Callithrix jacchus: one gene and its partners. The protein of the gene in region 4 binds, or shares a complex with, the protein of the main gene of each other region. Links are inferred from orthologs where the notes say so. Each region holds a gene or a part of one and is shown on either strand. Other genes may lie near its edges. The genes, in order: RBM48, CRIPT, DHX16, SNRNP200, SF3B5, CWC22 and SART1.

Evidence for each region.
Region 1: SNRNP200 (region 4) and RBM48 share a complex: the UniProt entries of both Homo sapiens proteins name them as parts of the minor spliceosome. The link is inferred for Callithrix jacchus from reciprocal best matches to the Homo sapiens genes SNRNP200 and RBM48.
Region 2: SNRNP200 (region 4) and CRIPT share a complex: the UniProt entries of both Homo sapiens proteins name them as parts of the minor spliceosome. The link is inferred for Callithrix jacchus from reciprocal best matches to the Homo sapiens genes SNRNP200 and CRIPT.
Region 3: SNRNP200 (region 4) and DHX16 share a complex: the UniProt entries of both Homo sapiens proteins name them as parts of the minor spliceosome. The link is inferred for Callithrix jacchus from reciprocal best matches to the Homo sapiens genes SNRNP200 and DHX16.
Region 5: SNRNP200 (region 4) and SF3B5 share a complex: the UniProt entries of both Homo sapiens proteins name them as parts of the minor spliceosome. The link is inferred for Callithrix jacchus from reciprocal best matches to the Homo sapiens genes SNRNP200 and SF3B5.
Region 6: SNRNP200 (region 4) and CWC22 share a complex: the UniProt entries of both Homo sapiens proteins name them as parts of the minor spliceosome. The link is inferred for Callithrix jacchus from reciprocal best matches to the Homo sapiens genes SNRNP200 and CWC22.
Region 7: SNRNP200 (region 4) and SART1 share a complex: the UniProt entries of both Homo sapiens proteins name them as parts of the U4/U6-U5 tri-snRNP complex. The link is inferred for Callithrix jacchus from reciprocal best matches to the Homo sapiens genes SNRNP200 and SART1.

What each region holds. Positions count from the first base shown.
Region 1 is NC_133512.1:57,090,155-57,094,422, forward strand, and holds the start of RBM48 (RNA-binding protein 48), read right to left. Parts: upstream 2,801-4,268; 5' UTR 2,796-2,800; coding exon 2,685-2,795; intron 2,136-2,684; coding exon 1,945-2,135; intron 1-1,944. Other genes in the region: peroxisomal ATPase PEX1, read left to right, coding at 3,162-3,290. UniProt on the Homo sapiens protein: As a component of the minor spliceosome, involved in the splicing of U12-type introns in pre-mRNAs.
Region 2 is NC_133515.1:68,132,468-68,136,717, forward strand, and holds the start of CRIPT (cysteine-rich PDZ-binding protein), read right to left. Parts: upstream 2,801-4,250; 5' UTR 2,702-2,800; coding exon 2,686-2,701; intron 1,265-2,685; coding exon 1,199-1,264; intron 446-1,198; coding exon 391-445; intron 1-390. Other genes in the region: PIGF (GPI ethanolamine phosphate transferase, stabilizing subunit), read left to right, coding at 3,202-3,456, 4,157-4,250. UniProt on the Homo sapiens protein: As a component of the minor spliceosome, involved in the splicing of U12-type introns in pre-mRNAs. Involved in the cytoskeletal anchoring of DLG4 in excitatory synapses.
Region 3 is NC_133505.1:35,454,728-35,458,227, forward strand, and holds part of DHX16 (pre-mRNA-splicing factor ATP-dependent RNA helicase DHX16), read right to left. Parts: intron 1,910-3,500; coding exon 1,699-1,909; intron 1,502-1,698; coding exon 1,403-1,501; intron 1,292-1,402; coding exon 1,139-1,291; intron 1-1,138. UniProt on the Homo sapiens protein: Required for pre-mRNA splicing as a component of the spliceosome. Contributes to pre-mRNA splicing after spliceosome formation and prior to the first transesterification reaction.
Region 4 is NC_133515.1:6,146,103-6,149,602, forward strand, and holds part of SNRNP200 (U5 small nuclear ribonucleoprotein 200 kDa helicase), read right to left. Parts: intron 3,337-3,500; coding exon 3,165-3,336; intron 1,424-3,164; coding exon 1,231-1,423; intron 765-1,230; coding exon 709-764; intron 1-708. UniProt on the Homo sapiens protein: Catalyzes the ATP-dependent unwinding of U4/U6 RNA duplices, an essential step in the assembly of a catalytically active spliceosome. Plays a role in pre-mRNA splicing as a core component of precatalytic, catalytic and postcatalytic spliceosomal complexes.
Region 5 is NC_133505.1:150,851,934-150,854,393, forward strand, and holds SF3B5 (splicing factor 3B subunit 5), read right to left. Parts: upstream 1,237-2,460; 5' UTR 1,117-1,236; coding exon 856-1,116; 3' UTR 501-855; downstream 1-500. Other genes in the region: uncharacterized protein LOC118153004, read left to right, coding at 1,237-1,335. UniProt on the Homo sapiens protein: Component of the 17S U2 SnRNP complex of the spliceosome, a large ribonucleoprotein complex that removes introns from transcribed pre-mRNAs.
Region 6 is NC_133507.1:49,040,851-49,044,350, reverse strand, and holds part of CWC22 (pre-mRNA-splicing factor CWC22 homolog), read right to left. Parts: intron 304-3,500; coding exon 135-303; intron 1-134. UniProt on the Homo sapiens protein: Required for pre-mRNA splicing as component of the spliceosome. As a component of the minor spliceosome, involved in the splicing of U12-type introns in pre-mRNAs. Promotes exon-junction complex (EJC) assembly.
Region 7 is NC_133511.1:123,038,134-123,042,088, reverse strand, and holds the start of SART1 (U4/U6.U5 tri-snRNP-associated protein 1), read right to left. Parts: upstream 2,801-3,955; 5' UTR 2,753-2,800; coding exon 2,440-2,752; intron 1-2,439. UniProt on the Homo sapiens protein: Plays a role in mRNA splicing as a component of the U4/U6-U5 tri-snRNP, one of the building blocks of the spliceosome. May also bind to DNA.

The DNA of each region.
Region 1 (4,268 bases), on a different chromosome or scaffold from region 4:
TTTAAACCTCTTGGATTTGTTCCCTAGTCTTTAAGCAACTAAGGACCCAGCTGGTTGGCCTGAGGTATGTAAACTCTGGTCATAAAATAGAGCTTTTCTGTGGCCCTGAAGAGTTAGTTCATATCCAATTAAGCTTTTTCAGCACAATGTATTTCTGTAATGGGATTTATGCCTTAAAAATCAGATGAAAAATACTATAATCATAATACCTTCAATAACTGAGGAAATACTAAATATATAACAATGAGAAAATAAAAATGTTATTCAGTCAATACTTACTAAACATCTATGATATGCCAAGTACTACAATAAATAAATTTAACTACTCCTATATCCAGGGATAATATTAATACTTGTTGAGATTTTATCATATGCCAAGCAATGTCATAAGTGCTTCCCTTGAATTAATACCTCACAACTGTATAATGAAAGTGAAGCACTAGGACATTATATAACTTAGCCATGCTCATACTCTCGTTTGAGGAGCAAGGATTCAAATAAGGCATTGCATACTTCAGCTTTTTTTGAGCAGAGGGCTTATATCAGATAGAAGGCTGGAAAAAACTGAGTCAATTCGCAGAAAGGAGTGACAATAGCTAATGCTTACTGTATTCTGACCAGGAGGGACTATGCTAAACCCTTTATATGGATCATCTCATTTCATCAGCATACTACCTCAAGAAGGTCCCTTTAGCATATAGATTTTATGGAAGAGGAAAAACAGGTTTAACCTGGTTAAATAACTTGTCCAAGGTCATGAAGCTAGTAAGCAGTTGGACTGGAAAACTTACTCCAAGCCCAACTTTTTGTTTTATTTTTTTGAGACAGTGTCTCACTCTGTCCCCCAGGCTAAAGTGTAGTGGCCCATAAACAACTCACTGCAACCTATGCCTCCTGGGCTCAACTGATTCTCCCACCTCAACCTCCCAAGTAGCTGGGACTACAGGCATGCTCAGCTTGATTTTTGTATTTTTCGTAGAGGCAGCGTTTCACCATGTTGGCCAGTCTGGTCTTGAACTGGGCTCAAGCAATCTGTCCACCTTGGTCTTCCAAAGTGCTGGGATCAAATTCAACTTTTTTTTTTTTTTTTTGAGACAGTCTCACTCTTGCCCAGACTGGAGTGCAGTGGTGTGATCTCAGGTCACCACAACCTCCACTTCCTGGTTTCAAGTGATCCTTGTGCCTCAATCTTCCCAGTAGCACAGGCTTGTGCAACCACACTTGGCTAATTTTGTATTTAGTAGAGTCAGGGTTTCACCATGTTGCTCAGGCTGGGCTTGAACTCCTGACCTCAGGTGATCCCCCTATCTCGACCTCCCAAAGTGCTGGGATTATAGGTGTGAGCCATGTGCCTGGCCTCAAACCCATCTTTTTTTTTTTTTTTTTTTTTTGAGAGCCTCGCTTTATAACATAAAAATAGATAAGGCATTGCATACTTCAGCCTTTTTGGACTCTAAGCTGGAGTCCTGTGGCATGATCTTGGCTCACTGCAATCCTCCACCTCCCAGGTTCAAGTGATTCCCATGCCTCAGCCACCTGAGTAGCTGGGACTACAGGTCCCAACCACCACGCCCAGCTAATTTTTGTACTTTTAGTAGAGCTGGGGTTTCTGTCATGTTGGCCAGGTTGGTCTTGAACTGTCGACATCAAGTGATCTGCCTGCCTCAGTCTCCCAAAGTGGTGGGATTACAGGCGAGAGCCACCGTGTCCTAACTTCAAACCCAACTTTTAATCTACCACACCACAGGACATTAAATTGTTAAGCATGGGAATGATGTGATGGGAACAGTGCTTCAAGTAAAGTATACCTTTAAAAAGGCTAGAGGAAAATAAGTGGAATATAGGCTAGATTACATTGAATGAGGTATGAATGAGGGAAACTTGGGCCCAAAATGATAGAAATATGAATGGAGAAAATGAGTCACTGCTTAACTTGCACATTACCTTGCACTTTGTAAGTTCACAAATTTAATAAGATAAACTTCAGTAAAGTCTTCTGCCGGGTATTCATCTAGAGCATTATACTGTTCAATTGGACCATATAAAGCGAATCGCTCAACTAATTCTTTCATGGCTCCCACAGCAGGAACTCCTTGTATTAGTAAGTACTGAGATTCCAAATTGATTGTATATACCTGAAAGAAATGCAGAGTCGTTAAATGTATCTCGCAAATAAACCTAGGACGAATCTGCCTCTATTTTTTTTTAAACAGCGCTTTCAAAACAAGAAATAATCTGTTCAACCCAAACACAAAATAAAATGTCTCTCATTCCCTCTGCATAAAGAGTAACAGCCCATGTGAGAGGGTACCTAACAAAGGCATATAACAGACTACCTTCAGTCGACATTTTTTTCCAGAAATTGAGTCGGTAGAATTCACCGGGAACAATCACTCAACGAGTATTCACTGAGCGCTTACCTTGTGCCAAGTAGTACTGTAAATACAGAAGATCCAATGACTAAAACCAAGCCTTACTCTCGTGGAGGTGCTGTTCTAATAGTTGACCAAAAGGATCGTGAGAATCTTTGATAACTGACCCAAGCAAGGTTCTTCACGCTAGCTCTAAAGAGAGAGGGATCTGACAGCAGCCTTGTCCTGCCCTTATTTCTGTAGACTGGCTATATGGCGCTAGCACTCATATAAAGCTACCGAAGAGAGCGAATGAAACCAAAATCACTTTACCTTGACAGCACGAGGCCGTCGTCCCTCCCGATATTTGGCCCGCGTGTCGCATACCGCCCGCTGGACGTGGTGGTCAAATACATTCCCTAACTCCCCACCGCTCGACGCCATCTTGCCTGCTTTGATCCTCGCAGGGAGGACAACATCCGCCCTGCTGAGCTCCCTTTTCCCCAATAAGAGAGCGAGATGAGTCAAGGAGTCCCACGATTGGCTGGAGAATCGACAGCGTCGGCCATCGTTTCCTGCGTGAGAGGATTTGATGAACGAGTTGCCGCCCCCGCGAGCGGCACCGCGGAGAGGCGCGGTGAGTGGCAGAAGCTCGCTTGTTCCACCTAATACAGGCTTGCGACGAGAGGCGCAGCGGTCAGAGGGGGCGGGGCCGATCTATCTCCTCCGGCTCCGACGCCCTTGGCCTGCCAGGTCCCGGGTCCGCTGCGGCGCTGGGGTGGGGCGAACCCGGAGCGACGCGTAAGGACGATGTGGGGCAGCGATCTCCTGGCGGATGCTGGGCGAGGCGGGACGGCAGTGACTGTGGTCTTCACCAACGCTCGCGACTGCTTCCTCCACCTGCCGCGGCGTCTCGTGGCCCAGCTGCACCTGCTGCAGGTAACGTGCCGGCTCCGGCCACCTGCTGTTCAGCCTGGGGTCGGACTAGGCCGAAACCTCTCTGGGAGGCGGCGGGATGCCTGCTGCCTTTCGGGCGCCGCCGAAGCGCGCAGAGGTCAGACGAAGGGTCCCTCGAGGACAGGGCCCCTCTGAGTAGTCTTTGCGTCCCACAAGTCCTGGGCAGCCCTGGGCTTGTCTTATCCCAGGTCTTTTCACTTGGTGAAACTGAGCCTAGAAACATTCTAACATTCTACCATTGTTTTTAGAAATATTCCTTATTCCAGGTTGGAATATCTCCTGAGAAGTCGTTTGTTTTTGTTATTTTAAAAGGTGTTTTTCTTGCCAGTCATTTCCAGTTACCTGCGCTGCTGCCGTCCCGGCCGCGAGAGGGAGGCGGAGAATTGTTGGCTGAGCCCGGGTAGATTCCCGGGGACTGACCACCGCGTCCCATAAGCGGGAAAGATTAATACAATGATGGTTTTGCGCGGCGTCGCTGACCCTCGGAACACAGCTGTGGTGTGTTAGGAACACGTAACGTAGTTAGGATCACTTGAAGCTCTGAGATCAGTCGCCTTTCTGGACGTTGTGGTAGGGAAGTTTCACAGTTGTAACCACTGGTGGAGATACAGCGTCCCTACTTTCATAATTAAAAATAGAGGCACATGGTCTCAAGAATTTGAGTGTGCTTATGGGGGCAAAAGGATAGCGTATTTGAAGTTCTCATTGTAAGGTTAGCCAAGAGGAAAGGAGAGTAGACCCAAAGTCAGGCAAGCAAGTCTTATTAACTTGCCAGGCTGTTGGTAACACTCAGAGGAGGCAGCCCCGAGCTCACAAAATGAGGGGCTTTTATGGGGTGAGAGGAGCTTAAGAGAGTTTCAGGACTGAGATAATTTATCAGCTTGTCACAGGCACAGAGATAGTTTGTTAACTTGTGACTGGCTTACAATATACATCATCCTGCGAATCCTGTGACTTGTG
Region 2 (4,250 bases), about 62 Mb from region 4:
AGGCTGATTAGGGAAACCTCTCCGAGAAAAGACCCTTCAGCTGAGACCCAAACACCAAGGAGCCAGATACGTAAGCTCTCAGTAAAGACCTCGAGGACACAGCAGCAAGGACAAATCTCTTTGGATGGGGGAGGCTTGGCAGAACCAATGAGGATGGCATATGATGAATGAGGAGGAGTATGGTACAATATGAAGTCAGAGGGGGACATACAGTAAGGAGGAATAAGGTAAAACCAGCAGGTTATAACAAATAGCTTGGTTCTGAGTGCCAGGAACCACCTAACTCTATGTTTTATTGCAATTGGAATGATGCACATCAAATTCACTCCAGTAGGCTTAACATTAAAAGAGTGAAAATTATATGACTTCTCTATGGATCCTCTTACCCACCTTGCTTTTTTTGAAGTCAAAGCTTTATTTTCATTCAGCTTTCTTCCACCACTTTCTGTATCAAAATAGAAGTTATTTTAAAGGGTTACTTCTATACATTTAACATATAACATTAAGAAGTTCATTCTCTGACTTTCTGCCAAACTAGTAGCCTATATCTAATTTTTAAATCTTCATTTAACAGTCAGGTTATTAAGACGCTGCTTAAAAAGAAAACATTTATTAGAGAAACAATAAAAATTTGTATAAAATACAATCATTTTATTTTTCAGACTCAAGGTAGTACCTTAGGAATGGGTCTATATTTACTTGATATACTGTAAAATCTAGAACCCACTACTTCAGTGTCATAGACCTTGAATGTCTATGTTTCTTTTCTTTCCCTTCGAAAACATACTTTATGTATTTAATGATAATGAAGGTAAATACTTCACTGTAAGTAATTAATGATAATGAAGGTAAAATGGGTTAAAGGATTTATTCAAGAATATAAAAACCAGATTTAAAAAAATTTCTCCTCAGAAGAGCGGAGAAATTAAATGCAGTCTCTAAATAAGCTGAATCAAATCAAATATTATGATACTGTCACCACTTGACAATCATTTAATAATTTTGCTATCTCCTGATGTTAGGAACCTGTACAAGTAACAGAACTAAGTAGAAGATATTAAATAACTTGGGGACCCAGGATTCTTTCATGTTTAATAGACAAAATACTTTGAACACATTTCATTTTACAAATAACGTAAAAGATAAAATATTCACAGGAGTCTCTGGTTAAATTCCTATTTTCTAAAAGAAGAAATACCTGTGGTATTCCTAGCACCATCTTTCCATGTATCTGGAGTGATAACAGTACCAAGTTTCTTTTCACCTGTTATAATAAGATAGTAAAAAGCAATTTAAAATTTAGTATTTCATAAGTGCATCACATTGTGCCTAAGGTTCACAATGGTATCAACAGTCCTATTACTGCAGGAGCCTGTTAATGCTGGGAGAGCAGTCAGTGAACTGAGACTTGTATTAACTGTGGGCAATGAATGACTGATCCACAGTAAAATCCGTAGGATAATAAGATGGCTTATAATAAGCTTTCTCTGTTTGTTTATACTTTAAACAAATCTGGCAAGTCTATTTGTTCCATACATATTTACTAAGCATCTATGATGTATAAACTATACAAATTACTGAAAAAAATAAGTGATGAATCAGACAAAATTTTAAAGAGATTATAGTACAGTAGTTTAACAGCAATCTTTAATCTATGTTCCACAGGTCGATCTTAAGAGATATGTGAACAAGGCAGAATTGTACACAAACCTTTTATATATCTTTTTTTTTTCTTTCCTGGCAAGAGTCTATAGCTTTCTTCAGATTCTCAGAGAGAACCTGAGAATCATTCAACCAAAATATAAGCTAAAAATTAAACGGTGTAATAATTGAGAGCTAAAGTACTAGGTGAAATTCCATGCAGGAAGATATAACCCTGGCTAAGGAAATCCAAGAAAGTTTGGGGAGAAGGCAAGAGAGAGGATTTGAATATGTGGCAATAGGACTGTGAACAAAAAGGAGTAAAGAGGATAAAGGCAGACTGATAAAGGACACATTCTGAGGAAAGGCATGGAAAGCTCCGAGTACACATGGGCACAAAGGGTAGTTACGTTTGGTCAAAGTGTGAAGAGGGTAAGGATCAGTGAAGATGAAGCTGGAAAAATAAGTTGGGGCCTTATTGCGGAGGGTCCTGAACGTCAGGCTCCAAATACAGAATCCCCACATTGTTCTCTGCACACTGAGAATTTATTAAAGGTGTTAAATTAGGGAAATAGTAACTTGCACTTGCGTTGATGTTCAATTCACACATCTTCTGGGCTTACTCTAAGCCATATTCTGGCATAATGACTAACAGGAATGAGTAAGACGAGGTCCTTGGTCTTTGGTTCTAGTGTGTTACATGAATAAAAAGGAAAGGTCAGGAATTGCAAGAGGGAAAGGTGTGATTGGGGTTTAACTGAACATTTTTATACGGGAGGGGAGCTGATGAGATCTGGAGCTGGGGGAAGGCAATGGAAATAGACAAGGAGATGCAGAACTAAGACCATTCTGAAAACAAAATATACTATAGGACTATATGGTCTTTGGGGAGGTGCAAAAATGGTCAAAGGGTAGAGCAGAAGGACAGCGACTAGAATCAAAGATGTGGGCGAAGAAAAAACAAAAGAGAAGGCAGAGTTCCCGGGAGAGTTCATTTAGGTTCCCCCAGTTTCTTCCTCCCGCAGGAGGAGCCCCTTAACTCACATTTTTCGCAGACCATCCTTCCCCACGACGGTTCCCCTAGCCGCAACAGCAGCAGCAGCAGCAGCAACAGCAGCCCGAAAACATCAAAACTAAAACCCGGACGGCTTCCCCTTCCGGGCTACGTCAACCCACTTCCGGCTTCTAAGCACGCCGCTCCGGTCTAGCCCAAACTTGGAAGGCCGCGGGAGGAATGAACGGGAGCGTCTAGGCGGGGCTGCCCCATCTGCCCGCCCCTCTCTTTCTGCTACTGGCTATGCGGCCCTGGATCTCCGCCCCTTAACCCTGCGCTTGCGGGTGGGCCTGGGTAGCACGTCGTACCTGATGGTAGGAGGCAGTAGTTCCCCGCTTCCCTTCCGCGGGTGGGAGAGTTAGGTAAGCCCCAATGTACGCCCCCGGCGATCTCGCCCCCCGGGGTGCAAGCCACCCCCGCGAACTGCCGTAGCAGCCGTGAGCCTTGGCGTCCCGGCCCGCCCGCTCTCGCCCTCAGCTCGAGCGCCACTCTTCCGGCGTGCTCTGATGGACAGACCCCCCCTTTCGGATCCGAGTTTCTGCCTCTGTCCCCCAGTTTTCCCTTGTCTCCAACTCCCGTGCTCTTTGATCCTGCCTCTCTGCTGGTTCCTGGCTGTCGACGCTCGCGCCGGCCTAGGCTCGGGCAGAATCCCGAGCGACCCAGGTTGGGGTGGGGCTGCCAGTGAAGGTGCGGCGATGCCCGCGAGGGCTCCTCTGGGGGCCGCTCGGAAGCGCCGTCTCTCTGCTGCGGTGCCTAGCGAGGTGGGCCAGGTCATACCCGTGGCACCCTTGTAGGTGTCCTGGGGGCACGCCAGGGCCTAACACGGTGTGGGTTTCCCAGGAGAGTTAGTTTCCCACTTTACATACTCTGGTTCCTTCATTCGTTCAGCAAACATTTGAGTTTGGTTCCTGCTTATTGTAGGAGCATCTCCTGTTGGCAGCTGCGATTCCGAGGGTGGCTCAGAAAAATGGATGAAGGGTTTGTTGTGAGGATGGATTCCTGATGATTGCCCTCCCTCAATCAGCTTAAGATAGAATCTATAGGAAACTTTCCCTTTGTCCCTTCTTGCCATCCGTTTCCTTCTCCATCCCTTTATTTCGTTGTACCAGAGAGAGGGCTGTAGCTCTTGAGAACTTGGACCTCCTTACCTGTTTGTCGTGTTTCCTTATCAGTAAAGTATCTGCCTTTGAAAAGCATTGGGTGAATTAAGTGAGAGCAATTTTTTAAATTGCATTTTAGGTTTTGGGGTACATGTGAAGAACATGCAAGATTGTTGCATAGGTACACACGTGGCAGTGTGATTTGCTGCCTTTCTCCCCTTCACCTATTATAAGGTCCAGGTGTTTTGAAACAAATACATTGCCCATAGGAAATTGACTTTATGACTTATTTGTAGGGGTTGAAACATTTTGGACAATGGAAAAAGTCATTATTGCATATGCTCTTCTTGTTTTTTATTAGCTAGCCACCCAGGAAAACACCATGAAAGATACCGATATCAAAAGACTACTGTATACCCATCTTTTATGCATATTTTCAATTATCCTAAGTGTCT
Region 3 (3,500 bases), on a different chromosome or scaffold from region 4:
AGGAGTTTAAGACCAGCCAGGCCAACCTGGCAAAACCCCATCTCTCCAAAAAATACAAAAAATGAGCAGGGCATGGTGGCATGTACCTGTAATCCCAGCTACTTGGGATACTGAGGCAGGAGAATTGCTTGAACCTGGGAGACAGAGGTTGCAGTGAGCAGAGGTCATGTCATTGCACTCCAGCCTGGGCGATAGAGCCAGACTCCATCTCAAAAAAAAAAAAAAAAGTATTAGCTGGATGTGGTGGTACGCACCTGTAATCCCAGCTACTTGGGAGGCTGAGGCACAAGAATCACTTGAGCCTGGGAGGCAGAGGCTGCAGTGAGCCAAGATCTTGCCACTGCACTCCAGACTGGGTGACAGAGCAAGACTCTGTCTATAAACAATAAATAAATAAGTCCAAGCTCTCCTGTCATCAAAGGCCCTCCCTAATCTTAGCCCCAAATTGTTTTTAGCCTTATCTCCTACTCCTGTACCGCATGAACCTCCCACTAAGCCTACTAGCTGACGTTCTCACCTCAGACGCACCTTGGGCCTTCCACTGATAACTTCTCAGCCATTTTTCTTTTTTGAGACAGAGTCTCACTCTATCGCCCAGGCTGGAACGCAGAGGCACAATCTCAGCTCACTGCAACCTCCGCCTCCCAGGCTCAAGCGATTCTCCTGCCTCAGCCTCCCAAGTAGCTGGGATTACAGGCACCCTCTACCATGCCTGGCTAATTTTTGTATTTTTAGTTGAGACAGGGTTTCACCATGTTGGCAAGGCTGGTTTAGAACTACTGACCTCAAGTGATCCACCTGCCTTGGCCTCCCAAAGTGCTGGGATTACAGACGTGAGCTACTGCACCCAACCTCAGCCATTTCTCTTAAAGGTCCATATCAAATCCCACCTCCTGGCCCATCAAGGACTTCCTATCTCCACTGAATCTACTGTGCTTACTTTGCAGATCACGTATTTGGCTCTCTCTTGGTTCATACGGTATTTCTCCTCTCTCTTCAGCCCCAGGGGTGAGAGAATGGCTCCTCAGCTATGTCTGCAGCAGTGCCCAGGACTCCCCTTGCATGGGGCAGGCACACACCTTTTTCACTACTGTTGTGTGAAGCATAGGTGTGAAGAGTGTGGGTTTCTCCAACTGACCTTTCGTGCCCCAGGTGGTGTGGGCTGGAAGATACGGGCCTGCATGTCGGAGGGCAGGTTGGCATAAATGGGCAGCACCAGGAGCTCCCGGATTTTGGAGCCCAGGCGGCGGCAGCGATCCTGGAGCATCTCACAGGCAGCCTCAATCTCTTCCTGGATAGAGAGTGGGGAGAGCAGCAAGGGTCCCAGGGTCACAGAAGACCAACATGCCAGCCTAGTCCTCCCCTGGGATACATTACCCCCTCTCCCAACCATATCAGGCACCTGTCCTGTCAGGAACACCAGGATATCCCCAGGGGGCTGGGTCACATGGATCTGCAACACAGATACGACACAAGCTTCCAAGTAGTCAGCCTCTGGAGCCTGGAGAGCAGAAAGAGATGGGGTCACAGGAGGGCCACCTGCTTAGGCAAATCGTTCCTCTCCTCCCAACTCAACATACACTTCATCCTAGTTCCCCTTTGGACTTTCCATTCCATCTTTCCCTCCTTGGGATAACCTCCTCCAAAGTCCCCAGCTTTTCCGCTACACACTTAAGCCCATCCTTCCTGAGGGGGCACCTTGGTATAGAAGATGTCCACAGGAAACCTGCGTCCAGGGATTCGAAACACAGGGGCGTCATCAAAGAAGGTGGAGAAACGGGCAGTGTCCAACGTGGCTGAAGCCACCAGGACCTTGAGCTCAGGTCGGAAGCGAGCAACATCCTTGATCAATCCAAAGAGAATGTCTGTGTGTAGGGTCCGTTCGTGTGCCTCATCCACCATCACCACGCTGAAGAGGTAATAGGGGAGCAATGAGGGAGGAGCGCTGGGTTATGCGTTATCAGACACCAGGGTTCCCTGGATGAGAGGGGAGTAATGGACACAAAGAGCTCAAGAATGACTGTTGAGGGAGGGGGCTCTAAGGAGACGCCACCATCCCAGTTACGTAAGACCAACAGAAAGTCAGAGAAGGCACAGCCCCGTGATCTGCAATCTATTCCAGCCTCAGCAGACAATAGGAGCCAAGATGTAGAGGCTGCACACTGACCCAGGACAAGTCAGACATGCCCTCTAGTTCAGTCAAGGGTCTGCTTAGACTCAGCAGCTCTTACTAGAAAAAGTGGAAGGATATGTTTTAAAGGAAAAAAAAAAAAAAAGTGGAGGGCAGGGTCCCCTTCAGTAAGAGGAGGCCACCAAGGCTGGCTGGGGATAATAGACCAGAGCTGCTGTGATTCAGACAGCCCAGAAGCTCCTGGTTTCCTGTGGAACAACTGCCTCTGGCATCCTTCCTGGCTCTGTTTCTTCTTTAGGAAAGAGGAACAAGTTAAGCCTTTCAACCCCAACTCTCAGAGGACTCTGCACATCCCTTGGTTTCCCCCAACTCAGTTAGGTACATGACACCTTCTTTCTCTTTGCTTTATTCTTTGGCTTTTCTGGGTGGCAGCCAAATCCCAGGGACTCATTCCCATCTTCCCCTACCCACCTTCCCAACCTCAACTCTGTGCCTAACCCTAACTGTGATGGTAAAGTCCCCAGCCATTCCACAAAGCACACTGGCTCGATGGGCAAAAACATCTGCATCAGACACTCTTGCACTGGCTGGCTCTCCATGGGTTCTCAGAGATTTTTTGCAAGGGATATGAAGTATCAAGTTCTATCTGTCCAATTGCTCCACTGTGATCTTCCAGGGCCAGAAATTCACAGCCTCTGAAGAGTTGAAAAGGCACATATTGTTCAGCTGGCCTGATCCCACCCCCAATCTCATTCATGAATCCCTTTTCCCCCTCAACACATGCTAAACCAACCCCTGGTTGGCCATTTCCAGCACTAAGAGCTCATTATTCACAGACCAAGCTACCCAAGACTTGTGTGGAGGACCAAGCCCCAGGGTCCAACCACTCTGACAAGCCCTGCAATCTGAGGGTGACTCAGCCATTTTGGTATGGAGCTGGAATCTGTCTCCCTGTAACCTCCCCATGGTTCCTAGCTATGTCCTGTAGGGTCACATAAAACAAGTCTGATCCTTTCTTCCATGTAACAGCTTTCACATATTTAGAAGAACCAGGATGCTTCCCCTGTTTCTCCCTCTGAGTTGAGCAACCCAAGTGTTTTCAAATGTTCTTCGCACAGCATTTTAGTCTCTGCAGCAATGCTCCTCTATTCTGATTGTTTTCTAAACCTTGGAGATGAGTAGGGACGGAAAAAGAGGTTTCTCTACAATCTCTTCTATCCTACAGCCCCATCTCCATGGTATCTGGAGGTCAGTTCAAGGACCATTTGAACCATAAAGGTTCAAGAACTGGTGGATTAATCAGAAGACAATGGCTGATTGGCTAGGTGGGAAAGGAGAGAAAGGCCAGAGATTAGAGATCCGGGAAAGC
Region 4 (3,500 bases):
GTGGCTCACGCCTATAATCCCTGAACTCTGGGAGGCCGAGGCAGGTGGATCATGAGGTCAGGAGTTTGAGACCAGCCTGGCCAAAATAGTGAAACCACATCTCCACTAAAAACACAAAAATTAGCCAGGCGTGGTGGTGGGCACCTGTAATCCCAGCTACTCGGGAGGTTGAGGCAGGAGAATCACTTGAACCCAGGAGGTGGAGATTGCAGTGAGCAGAGTTGTGCCATTGCACTCCAGCCCAGGCAACAGTCCAAGACTCCATCTCAAAAAAAAAAAAAACAACACCATGTATGAACTATGTCCATGCTCTAAGGCAAATGTGCAATCTTTTGAAACAGCGGGACACAGTACTGAAAAATAGGAATTTATGGCAAGAAGGTTAAAATGCAGTACAATAAGAGCAGATACATTCTCAATGAAAGTATTCACTGTACTTTACCTTTTGTCTTTCTTTTTATTGATCCACTTGGTATACTTTAAATAATTATATTACTTTATATTTGTTAGTTTCAATTTGCTATAGAAAAGTTAAAGGATAACGGCATTTTTTTTTTAAGCAAAAGAACATATAATGCCTAAGTCTGAAACCCAAACATCATCATGAAATTTACATTTAAGGGAGCTTCTTTACACTAAAAGGGGTCCCTTTACCTTAAACAACTTCAAAAACAAGAATGGACTGGGTCTGTTTGCTTTATCACTCACCTCCTCATCTGACTCAAACTGCACATTCACACCGTATGTCTCATCAATGTTGTCATCTGAAACAATGAAGGATTAGAAAAAGAGGGCAGTGAATGGCTAGTAAAACAAGGAACTCTGGAGCCAATGTCCTCCCCAACTACCTCTCCTCAAGAAAGATCTAAGGGCTAAGGATACACAGACACTCAGATGATCAACATGAGAGAGCCACCTATGCGGCCACTGCCAAGACCTTCTCCAACCTGCCAGCCTTGGAGTCAGCCCAGCCCTGCTTGCTCAAACACTTGAGCCCCCAAGGCTCTGCCCACATTTTCTCCCTTATTCTACACAATAAAGGGTCTCAGAGTAAGGAACAGCTGCTGGAATCTAGGGATTCTGGTGTCCATCAATTGTAACTCCTCAAAAAACGCAAAACTAATTATGAGAACTTACTGACACTACGGTTTTTAAATGAATAATGCTAGAAGATGCATGTTTAGGGGTCAACAACCGTTAACATGATCAGGACATAAAGAGCTTACATACCCATATTTTGGATTTCCTTGTCTCCACCATAGTCTGTGATCTTTTTGCCCAAGTTCACTAGCACATGGTATCTGGTATCGTCTGTTTGACCCAGCAGCAGGTCAATCTCCTTTCGTCTTTCCTTGTCCCGAAGCTTTTCATTCTTTAGAACAGCTAGAACTTCATCAGCTGCCCCACAAAGGATATCACGTGGCTGGTGGCAAGAAACAACCAACAAATTTTGAGCACAATGATAGGCAGAACATCACCAACCAGGTTTATGTGGCAGCAGGATGTGAAGAGCCACACCTCTTCAAAACCTGCCTCATAATAGGCTCTGATCTTTTTCATTAATGCTGATTTAAAATGCCACAACTAAAGGAAGACTCGTCTGTTTTTTTTTTGACACGGAGTTTCGCTCTTGTGACCCAGGCTGGAGTGCAATGGCGCAATCTCGGCTCACCGCAACCTCCGCCTCCTGGGTTCAGGCAATTCTCCTGCCTCAGCCTCTTGAGTAGCTGGGATTACAGGCACACACCACCATGCCCAGCTAATTTTTTGTATTTTTAGTTGAGACAGGGTTTCACCATGTTGACCAGGATGGTCTCGATCTCTTGACCTCGTGATCCACCCACCTCAGCCTCCCAAAGTGCTGGGACAGGCTTGAGCTACTGTGCCCAGCCGACTCGTCTGTTTTTTAAAAGATTGGCTAGATGGCCTCAAGAAACAGGACACAGCTTCCAGAATAGCTTGCCACGTCTCCAGGTGGCAGTCACTTGGCAGACCTGCTCTAGCCTCCCACACTTTTGTAAATCTTTGTCCTCACTTCCTCTAGCACCCCCCTCACCAGAGCTTCTCAGACTCATAATGGTCCCCAATCTAATCACACACACATGTGTAATGGTTAGGAACACAGATTCTACAGAGAAACTACCTGAATCATATCTTGGCTCTGCCAAATACTACTTCTGTGACTTGGGAAAATTACTTAAGTATTCTTGCCTCACATCTCTTCTGTAAAATGGATGTTAATAGCACCTTTGCACAGAGTTATATGAGGGGGAAAAAAGAAGACATGTGCTGTTCCAAACAAATCAAGTGCTCAGTAAATATAAGCCACTTCTGTAAACCAGCACGGCCCCCATGGGGATCCAGTGACAAGGGTCATCTGGTGTCTCCCAGCTATGACCTCTCCCTTTCTAACACATGGTCCCACCCTTTGGCCGCTTCACTCTGAGAATACAGAAATAAAGCAAACTCAGTTTTTTCTATACTCTCACAACGATTAACATAGAAGGCTTCTGTGATGATTCCTCCCCATCAGCAACCAATCCAAAAATAGTGCAGTGGACACAAGCTGAGTGTCCTCAAATTCAATTCAGTTCTGACACTAATTACCTAGAAAGCTTCAGATCCCACAGGTTGAGGACTCAGTCCCACAAGCCTGCCTCCCACTTCATGATGACAATCACATGCACAGGTTATTTGATGTATGCTTCTCACTGAACAGCTATAAATTGAGGTTTCCATGATCCCCTTTTTGGGTTCAACTAATTTGCTAGAACAGATCAGGAAAACACTTATTTTTACTATAAAAGGCATATTACAAAGGATGCCTACCAATGAACAACAGGTGGAAGAGGTGCACAGGGCAGGCATATGGGAAGGGGTGTGGTCTGCCAGGCCCTCTCAGGCACACCACCCTCCAGAAACCTCCATGTGGGCAGCTGTCCACAAATTCTCTAAACCTAGTCCTTTTGGGGTTTTTATGGAGGCTTCATTACATAGGCATGATTGATTCAATGACCAGCCTCCATAAAGGGGTTGGTCAGCCATCAGTCAACTCATCAGCGTACAAAAGACATTACCACTTCAAAGATTCCAAGGATTTTAGAAGCTGTATTGCCAGGAAATGAAATAAAGAATGAATATATATTTCACAGTATCACACTCACCTGGTCCCCAAGAGCAGCCTGGATGAAGCTGAGTAGCACCTCATAGGTCTCCCGAGTCTCCTTAGTTTTGGGCTTATAGATGATACCCACCATCTCATCAATGCCCTCCGACAGCAGAGTATAACCCTTCATCTTATTGATGTCATGCCGATCCTCATCGCGCTTTCTTCGCCTAATGGACATGTAATGTGATGTTGAATGGCAGAACCTTTCCTCCCCAAGGCAAGACTGGATCAAACCCACCCTCCTCAGCTTCTTGGAAAGAAGCTAATAACTGAAAACAGGTACCCCAGCCTCAGCAAATGATTCCTATTTGGCCTTAATCACTTGTAGGGG
Region 5 (2,460 bases), on a different chromosome or scaffold from region 4:
CTTCTAACATTTGCTTGCTATGCCTACAGTGTTTGACCTTTCTCCACCACCAGCATTAATGTATACCCAAGAACATGGGAAAATGCCTGTCACATAGAGCTCAACAAATATTTGTTGAATGTAGAATGGATGAACTCGCTTGCCATCTTGTCATTTCTGGAGACATGGTTTCAAATTCCCAGGAAAAAGAAAGGATGTAATTTAAAGAGGCTAGGGAAAACAATGACAGCAAAGATTTTTAAAACAGAAGAAAAAGATGGGATACATTAACCGCAAACTTCAAAACTGAAGTCATTGTGAGACTGAAAATAAAGCTCTTGGAGGAAGTGGCAGTCGGGGAACACTATAAAGGTATACAGGCATATCTAAGTGCCTGGCCACAGACACTGGCATTCGCACCCTCACCCAAACCCATTTCCCACTCGGACTCTCGCGAACCTCGGTGCCTGGAGCTCTTTCCGGAGCCCTCCACCCTAACACAGGAAGTTCACACCAAGAGACTGAACGATTTCTAAACTTTATGGAAAAAGCCAATGACAATCAATTAGGCAAAAACGAGACGCCAAATCCCATCTCACTCCAGCGCCACGCCCTCTTCTCAGAGACTTGCCGGCTGCAGGACCTCTCCGCCAGCACAGTTCTCAGGGGTCCTGCTGGTCTCTCAATGCTGTCCCAAAGTGTCCACATGAAGGCGGGTCAGGAGGGACTTCCCCGGCAAGCACTTCTATACGCAGAAAGCGCGGGACGCAGGAGCCATGGAGAGAGCCGGTCCCTTGAAGGCAGGAATACTCGAGGGATTTGGCAAACGGGAGGAACGCTGGGAGAGGCGCCGCGCACGGCGTTGGTAAGGCAGTCTCAGTTCTCCTCGGGCTTGTCGGCTGGCGGTCCACAAGGCTGCAGCATCTTCTCCATCAAGTTGAAGCGGACTCGCGCTTTGCTCTCATTCTCCGCAATGGCGAAGTAGTTGAGAAGGTCGAAGTGGCCCATGTAGGAGCAGTACGAGTCGCGGTGTTGGTTCACCAGCCACTCCCACTTGGTGGTGTCGGCGTGGCCCGTGCCGATGTACTTGGACTGCAAGTGCTCCAGCTGGCTGTGGATGGTGTAGCGGTCCGTCATCTCGCCGCTTTCCCCTTCGCTCCGAGGTCAGAGGCCGCAGGAAACAAGTCACCGCTCTACCGTTTCAAGCGGGAGTGAGGACACCGCACAGCACCTCCGGGCCCACGCGGTCGCAGAAGAATGGCGTCACTGAGACTAAGTAGTGTAACTCTCGCTCATAGGGCTCAGAGGCGGAAGCGGAAGCGGAAGCACATCAGTCACGGAATTGGAGTTGCCGAGGTATGCGACGCTACAAGTGTGCCGCCCCTGTAGTGAGCCGTGCCCCTTCATAGAGCGTTGCATGATGGTCCGCTTAGTGGCTATGAGAGGCCCTTTTCAACCGGGAGCGTTGCATGCTGGGACTTGTGGTCTTGGTCTTTGGAGTTCGTGCACGCCAGCCTCCGGAACTTCTGGTCGCCTTTTAAAAGCGGTATGGGTGCCTAGTGGAGGGTGTTGTCTGCGAGGCGGGAAGCATCCGTGGTTGGCTTGGGGCTGATGGGAAATGGGAAACCCAAATAGGAGTGGACTACGAGCAACCCCGAAAATAAACTCTTATGTATTTCGGACCTATCGTGGCGGCACGGCAGTCCCTTCACTACCCGGGATGGATTACCCAGAAGTCAGTAGGCGCGAGTTCTGGTCCCAACTATGTCGCTTAGGAGTTTGTAGCATCAAAGAGTTATTTCAGCTCTAACCAGGGTGTTTGGTGAGCAAGTACAGTACCCATTTCCTCACATTCCGGCTCCACCTCAAGTTCCTCCTTCCTCTCTAGCCAGTTATTTTGATATCCTCCCTCCAATGCCTCACGGCACCCTACTTGGCCCTTCCATTCAGTGGGTTTTGTGAATTCAACCAACCCGACTGAAAATATTTGGGAAAAAAATTAGTGTGTACCGAAGTGTAGACTTTTAAAGGTTATTATACCCTAAACAATATAACAACCATTTACATAGTATTTACATTGTATTGGGTATTGTTAAATAATCTAGAGAAAAACTATACGGGAGGATGTGTGTATATGCAAATACAAGCCATTTTATATCAGGGACTTGAGTATCTTCTAGTTTTGGTATCCATGGAGTCCTGGAACCAATCACTCACAGATACTGAGGGACAACTGTACTTCTCCATGTTACCTGTTGTGCCCATTCCCCAGTTCCTTGTGCAAGCTGTTCCCTCTACTTGGAATGTCTGTTCCCTTGGTGAACGCATCTGCCTTAAAGGCAGCTCAAATGCATCTCCCTAGAATTTTCTCTGGCTGCTCCAGACAGATGTAAATTCTTCTTCCTCTTTGCAGATTATCCATCTCTTCCTTATTATTGCTTTATATCCTAATTTTTAGTTTAATAACTTCCTCATATGGAT
Region 6 (3,500 bases), on a different chromosome or scaffold from region 4:
GTTCTCAAGAAAGACAGTTTTTAAAGAGTATGATATATGTAGCTGTGTCAAAACTAACCTTGCTTACTTTTGTTGATACTGGTTTATTAGTCTGTTCTTATGTATAATTCTACTTACAAGCCATTCATATATACCTTATCATTTCTTCGGTAGCCTTTTCGAAAATTAAGAATTAACCTCTTGAGGATCAATTCTCCAATCTGTGGAAATTTTGAGTTGATAATTGCCACTAATGCTGCATAAACATGGGTGAAGATTGGAGACGCACTCTGTGCTTGCAGAACAGATCTGGACAGCAGTCCTCTGTTTAAAAAATAAGAAAGGAGTCAAAAGTAATCACCAAATTAATTACATGAAACAAAAACTATTAAAATACAGTAAGAGTTCTCTATAAATAATCATAAAATCGAAATCAGAACTAAATGGAAAGAGTTCATCTTACTAATAAAAATTGTTTTTCAGAAAACAAAATGTGAATTTGTGATTTTGTAAAATAGAATAAAGATTTTACTGCAATTTATCTTCAAAATTTTTCTCTCTATATATAATTCCTCTTATCCCCATCTGTTTGTTATATGTAATTATGAATTTGAGGTTAAGGTTCATATAAATAATTTGTTTAACACTTTCAAAAAAGTAAACAAAAACAGACCTGCTTCAAAAGTTAGACAATACAAAGCTTCTACTACAGGTCCATCATTTTTTTTAAAATTAATTTTGTTATTAAAGACAAATTTGACATTAAATCTTTAAGTCTAATTTTAGTAGAATAAAATGAAGATCTGGAATACTCCTATGAGAAATAAAGACACAATTAAAAGCAATGCTAGATTAATGCTAAAACAATGACAGGAAATGAAAAGGTATCTACTTGTAACTGATTTTGAAAATGGTCATGTTTTTATAGGCATTTGATGAGAAAGGGGAAAAAGGCAAATCAGGCAAACTGAAGTTATTTTTAGCAATGTAATGACAAGTAATTATTGGACTGCCAAAAGTCAGAAAAAAAAGTCTTAATGGTAGGTTTAGATATGACAACTGAATCACTAGAGTAGAAAATGAGAAAAAGGATGCAGCTTATAAATTATAATATCTTTAGCAATCCATAACTCTTCTAACTCTACTTTTTTTCCTAAGTAAAATGGAGAGCCCTCTGCCTACTTTTAAGGATAATGGCTATCTCTTGATCAACTTTCTGTATCTCTACAACTTGCTACATCTACTTTATACCCCAACCTTTTTTGGTGAGGTTAAGTGGCTGTCTCTTGATCAACTTTCTGTACCTCTACAACTTGCTACATCTACTTTATACCCCAACCTTTTTTGGTAAGGTTAAGGAGAGACAGGGTCTCACTCTGTCACCCAGGCTGGTGTGCAGTGGCATGATCTTGGCTCACAGTAAGCTCCACCTCCCAGGCTCAAGCGATCCTCCCATCTCATCCTCTGGAGTAGCTAAGACTACTGCATGCCACCACACCCAGCTACTGTTTGTATTTTTGGTAGAGATGGGGTTTCACAATGTTGCCTAGGCTGGTCTCAAACTCCTGGACTCAACTGATCCACTTGCCTCAGGCTCCCAAAGTGCTAAGATTACAGATGTTGAACGACCATGCCTGGCTACTATATTCCCTATTTTTTAAAAGAATCATAGTCATGTAAAATGACATGAGAAAACAGCCCATAGATTTTAAAATAATAAATAGAAAATGGGGTACTTATATTTTTTGACCCTTTTAAGTATCACCAATTGCTTAAAGCCACATATTATAGAATATGGTGATTCCCTTCTGCTTTTCTGAAATTTATTGCTCATCTTTCCCATTTCTCTCACATTATCCCTCCACCCTCATTAGAAATTAAATTGGAATAAAGGTCATATATGACGAGCTCATAGCTAATAACACTCAACAGTGACAAGTTGAAAGCTTTTCCTCTAAGATAAGGAATAACAAAAGGGTGCCTACTCTTTCCAATTCCATTCAACATAGTACGGTAAGACCTAGCCAGAGCCATTAGGCAAGAGAAAGAAATAAAAGGAATCCAAATAAAAAATAGAGAAGTCTCTTTGCTGTAAATGGGATCTTAATATAGAAAATCCTGAAGACTTAACCAAAAAAATTGTTAGAACTAATAAACTAATTCAGTAAAGGTGCAGACACAAAATCAACATACAAAAATCAGTAGTGCTTCCATATGCTTACAATGAACTATCTGAAAAAGAAATCAAGAAAATATTCCATTTATAATAGTTATGGAAAAAAGAAAACCTATGAAAGGTCTATACACCAAAAACCACAAATTACTGATGCAAAACTGGAAGAACATGCATGACATCCCATGTCCATGGATTGAAATAATACTATTGAAATGTCCATAAAACTCAAAGCAACATACAGATTCGACTCAATCTCTCAAAATTCCAATTACAGTTTTCACAGAAATAGAAAAAACAATCCTAAAACTCACATGGAACCACAAAAGACTCCAAATAGCCACAGCAATCTTGAACAAAAAGAACAAAGCTGGAGGCATCACACTACCTGACCTAGAATCTGCTACGAAAGTTATAGTAATCCAAACAGCATGATAGTAGTATAAAAAGAGGCACATAGAGCTGCAGAGAACAAATAAACCAGAGACAAATCCAGCCATTTGCAGTCAATTGATTTTCAACAAAGCGGCTAAGAAGACACAATAGGGAAAAGACAGTATCTTCAATAAATGGTGTCAGGCCACATGTTCTCACTCATAAGTAGGTGTTGAACAATGAGAACACATGAACACAGGGAGAGGAACATCACACACTGGGGTCTGTTGGGGGGTGGGGGCCTAGGGGAGGGATAGTAGCGGGATTGGGGAGGGATAACATTAGGAGAAATACCTAATCTCGGTGACAGGGGTATGAAGGCAGCAAACCACATGGCATGTGTATACCTATGTAACAATCCTGCAAGATCTGCACATACACACCAGAACTTAAAGTAAAATAAAAATAAATAAATAAATTGTGTGAATATCCAGATGCAGAAAAATGAAAATAGATCTTAGTCCCACACCATATACAAACATCCACGCAAAATAGATTAAAGACTTAAACCATAAGACCTGAAATTGTGAAACTACTCTAAGTTTCTAACAGGAAAACAAGGAGGAAAAGCTCCCAGACACTGGTATTGTTAATGATTTTTTTGGAGATGACCCCTAAAGCACAGGTGACAAAACAAAAAGAGACACATGCAATTACATAAAACTAGAAAGCTTCTGCACAGTACAGGAAAATATCAACAGAGTGAAGAGACAACCTACAGAATGGGAAAAAACATTTGCAAACCATGTATCTGCTAAGAGGTTAATATCCAAAATAAATTAGGAATTCAACCCAATAGTAAGAAAACAAATAACCCAATCTAAAAAATGAGCAAATGACAAAAACAGACATTTTTCAAACGATGTACAAATAGCCTATATATATATATATTAAAAAAATGCTCAATATTACC
Region 7 (3,955 bases), on a different chromosome or scaffold from region 4:
TTAAGCCCTGGAGAATACCTCAGTTTATAGTGTTACTACTCAGTTATTTCTTTTTATATAATCCTTTATATGATTATATATTAGTTTATAGAATTAGGGCTTGGAGAGTATCTGTTTACAGTGTTACTACTCAGTTATTTCCCTTTGTACAATCCTCTCTATATGATCACACATTAGTTCATAGAATGAGTGCCTAAAGAATATCTTACCACTCAGTTATTTTCATATATATTAAAACTATATCTAAGTTTATAATCAGAGGAATGCCTAGAGTAGATACAGTACAGAGCATGAATTAAGGAATAAGCAGCTTATAATCGGAGGAATGCCTAGAGCAGACACAGAGCACCGCATGATTTAAGGGAAAAATGTTATACCAGGGCAAGAATCCATGGCCTAGGCAGCAGCATTCAGTATTATAGATACCCGCTGTATGGCAGGCTTGGGGCAAGAGCCACTCCTCCTGATAAAGGAGTTGTAGGACCTTGCACCAGTTCCTGTGGAAGGCTGCCCTCAGACCGGCAATCACACCTTGGTGACTGTGAACTTTATCAGCTCTTGTTACTGTGCTGCTCGAAAAGCATTCCTCTATAGAACTTATTGGAAGCTGCCAGCAGGTGGCATAGACCCTGACAGCTCTGTCACTGCTATGTGACTTAAAGCATCCTCCTATAAATCTTCTTAGTAGCTTACCCATAGATAGAGGTATTGCACACTGCACCCTCTTCACTGCACATGGCCCACCTCCATACCTCAGTGACCTAATGGGGGTGGACCCCTTACTGCACACGGCCCTTGCCTTGATGACCTAATGGGAATGGACGCCTTGCTGCACACTGTCCACCTCCCAGCCTAGGTGACCTAATGGGGTGGACCCCTTGTTTTATTGCTCACGACCCTATCACTATCCTTAAAGATGACTTCACTCACTGCCCTGCCCCCTAACCTAAACACAACAAACACTCACGCTTCTGGACATTTGGGGCCTCACCTGACTCCACTCATAGGGGCGTGGCCCCTCGAGCCCAGCTGCATTTTCCCTGTACTTCTGTGTCCTGTCTCTTTTTTATTTTTTTGAGACGGAGTTTCGCTCCTGTTACCCAGGCTGGAGTGCAATGGCGCGATCTCAGCTCACCGCAACCTCCGCCTCCTGGGTTCAGGCAATTCTCCTGCCTCAGCCTCCCGAGTAGCTGGGATTACAGGCATGCGCCACCATGCCCAGCTAATTTTTTGTATTTTTAGTAGAGACGGGGTTTCACCATGTTGACCAGGATGGTCTCGATCTGTTGACCTCCGGATCCACCCGCCTCGGCCTCCCAAAGTGCTGGGATTACAGGCTTGAGCCACCGTGCCCGGCCTGTCCTGTCTCTTTATTCCTTGGATCCTGCGCCTCAGCACAGCATAAGGCACACCCTGTGGGCCATCAGCCCTACAAGCTTCACTGGCCACCCAGATACTGACTCCCAGTGGCTTTATCCAGTCCAAACTCTGGCTTTTCACATGCACATCAAGCTCCACAACCCCAATTATCCATCCCCCTCCAAATCTGCTTCTCTTCTCTGCTCCTCAGTTTCAGTAGAGATGACACCCACAACTCATCTGGCTGCTCAAGTCAAAATTCAAGGAATCATTCTCAATGCCTTTTCCTTCCCAGTCTCATACAAGTGCTGAGTTCTGTTCATTCCTCCTCCAAAACACCTCTCCAACCTGTCCACTTCTCTCCATCCCACTGCTGCTGCATTGGTGCAGGCTACCATCGGCCCTCATGTGGTCTCTAGCAGTCCTGATTTCCTGGTCTCCAATCCTGACTACCTTTGACTAAGTTCTCAATCCAGCAATGTTTACAAAATATGGATCTGAGCAACTCACTCCTCAACTCACATCCATGGCTCCCTACCAACCTCAAGACAATCTATATTTCTTAACGGAACCTACGGTACACGGTCCTTTGTGTTCACATCCCTAACTATCTTTATCTTACTCCCTCATTTCACTACCATGAGCCCTACACGATTCTTCCAATACCAGGTTTCTCTCGCCTCTGCATACGCTGATACTACTTCATTCATTCATTCAACACATTTATTGAGGATCTGTAATTGTACCAGACAACTGAGGAAAACAGAAGCCCTCTGTCCTCAAGGAGCTAGGTGGAGAAAGTCAATCTCTAATCCTAATCAACCATAGAAAATACTTTTTTTTGAGACAGTCTCGCTTTCTTGACCAGACTGGAGTGCAACTGGCGCGATTGCAGCTCACTGCAGCCTCTAACTCTTGGGCTCGAGAGGTGCCGTAGAAAAACTATTTAATAGGAGTTAACGTAGACAGTCTGGGGGTTTCCCGGCCTGGAGAGCTTCGCAGCCACTGCGCGCACACCCAGACCCGCCCGCTCCGGGACCCCTGCCCGCCCCGCCCCCTGAGCAGGTCCCGCCTCCTCACCGGCCTCATAGCCGTCGTCGCGCTTCTCCCGCTTCACGCGCCGCTCTGAGGGCTCTGCCTGGCTGCGCTCCCGCCCGTGCGTGCTGCTCCGGGCCTCAGCTTCGGCCCCGCGCCGCCCACTCCCGCGCTCGCCTCCACGTTCCCGGCTCCGCTTCCGTCGTTCGCCGCCGCTACCGCCACTGCCGCTACTCCGGTGCTTGTGTTTTTTGTGCTCCCGGTGCCGCGGCGGCTGCTCGGTGGCCCCACCGGTCCCGGCCGCCGCCGTCGTCCCGGCCGCCTCTTTCTCTCCGCGGTGCTTCTTGGACGACCCCATAGTAGCGCGTCAGCCCCAAGCCCGGCCGCTGCCGAGCCCAGACAACGCAAAATGGGAACACTTCCGGGTCGCTCGGCAGCCGCTGTCGTGTTGCGGGAAACTAAGAGCGGCTGCTTCCGCCGCTCGCCTTGGAGCCTGCCCCAGAGGCTCATGGGAAGGCTAGGATCAGGGCTCCACTGCGCATTCGCGCGGTCTTGGGTCCAGTGGGTTCTGTGAGCAGGTGGTCCTGTTGCGCATGCGCTCCTCAAGGGACGCGGAATTAACCCCGGAGATGGGATCCCAAAACTGGAAGGAGTTAGACCTGCTCCACCCACCACACAAACAGCAAATAACTTTACTGAACACTATCAAATGTGTTCAGACACCTTAAGCCAGTGTCTTCGAGGCTGGAAGTTCCTCCTTGGCCTCCCTGCGCTTGTACTTCCCCGGCAACGTGGTGTTCACTACCTCACGGTCTCCGTGGACACCTCCCTCCTACAGTGGGCGCTCGCTTCCTGGACTCCTGGGGTCGTGGCTCCAACGGGTGTTGTTTTCCCGAGGTCCCCAATTGCATAGCCCAGCTTCCGACTCCCTAGAACCAGTATCCTCAGGGAACGCTGCCTTCCCACGTCCCCCGGGTTGTTTTTCTCTTGAGATAGGATCTCACTCTGTTCCTCAGGTTGGAGTGCAGTGGCGCCATCACCGTGCACGGCAGCCTTGACCTCCCGGGCTCAAGTGATCCTCCCACCTCAGCTTTCCCAGTAGCTGGGACTGCAAGTGCACGCTACCACGCCCCTCTAATTTGTGTATTTTTTTATAGATATGGGGGCGGGGGTCTCACTATGTTGTCCAGGCTGGTCCTGAGCTCAAGCGATTCACCCGCCTTGGCCTCCCAAGTGCCGAGATTACAGGTGTGTGCCACTCTGCCTGGCCCTGGATTGGGTTTTTTAAACGTGTGAACTGTTAAGGAGCTCCACATGGGTGTCAGTGTGTCCGTGGAACCCCTGAAATTGAATGCAAAATATGGCACATCTGTGTGTATGATTTTTTTTCTTGAGGAGAGGATCCCTAACTTAAAACTACTGGAACTTAAAAAGACCAATGCACACATTCCCTCCTGAAACCCCTCCCCCCACCCAACGGTTACTAAGACTGTGGCTCCCTGTGTGGCACAGTCAGTCTGTGTTAGGGTATGTTGTATGCACCCCTCTGAGGGTCCACCCC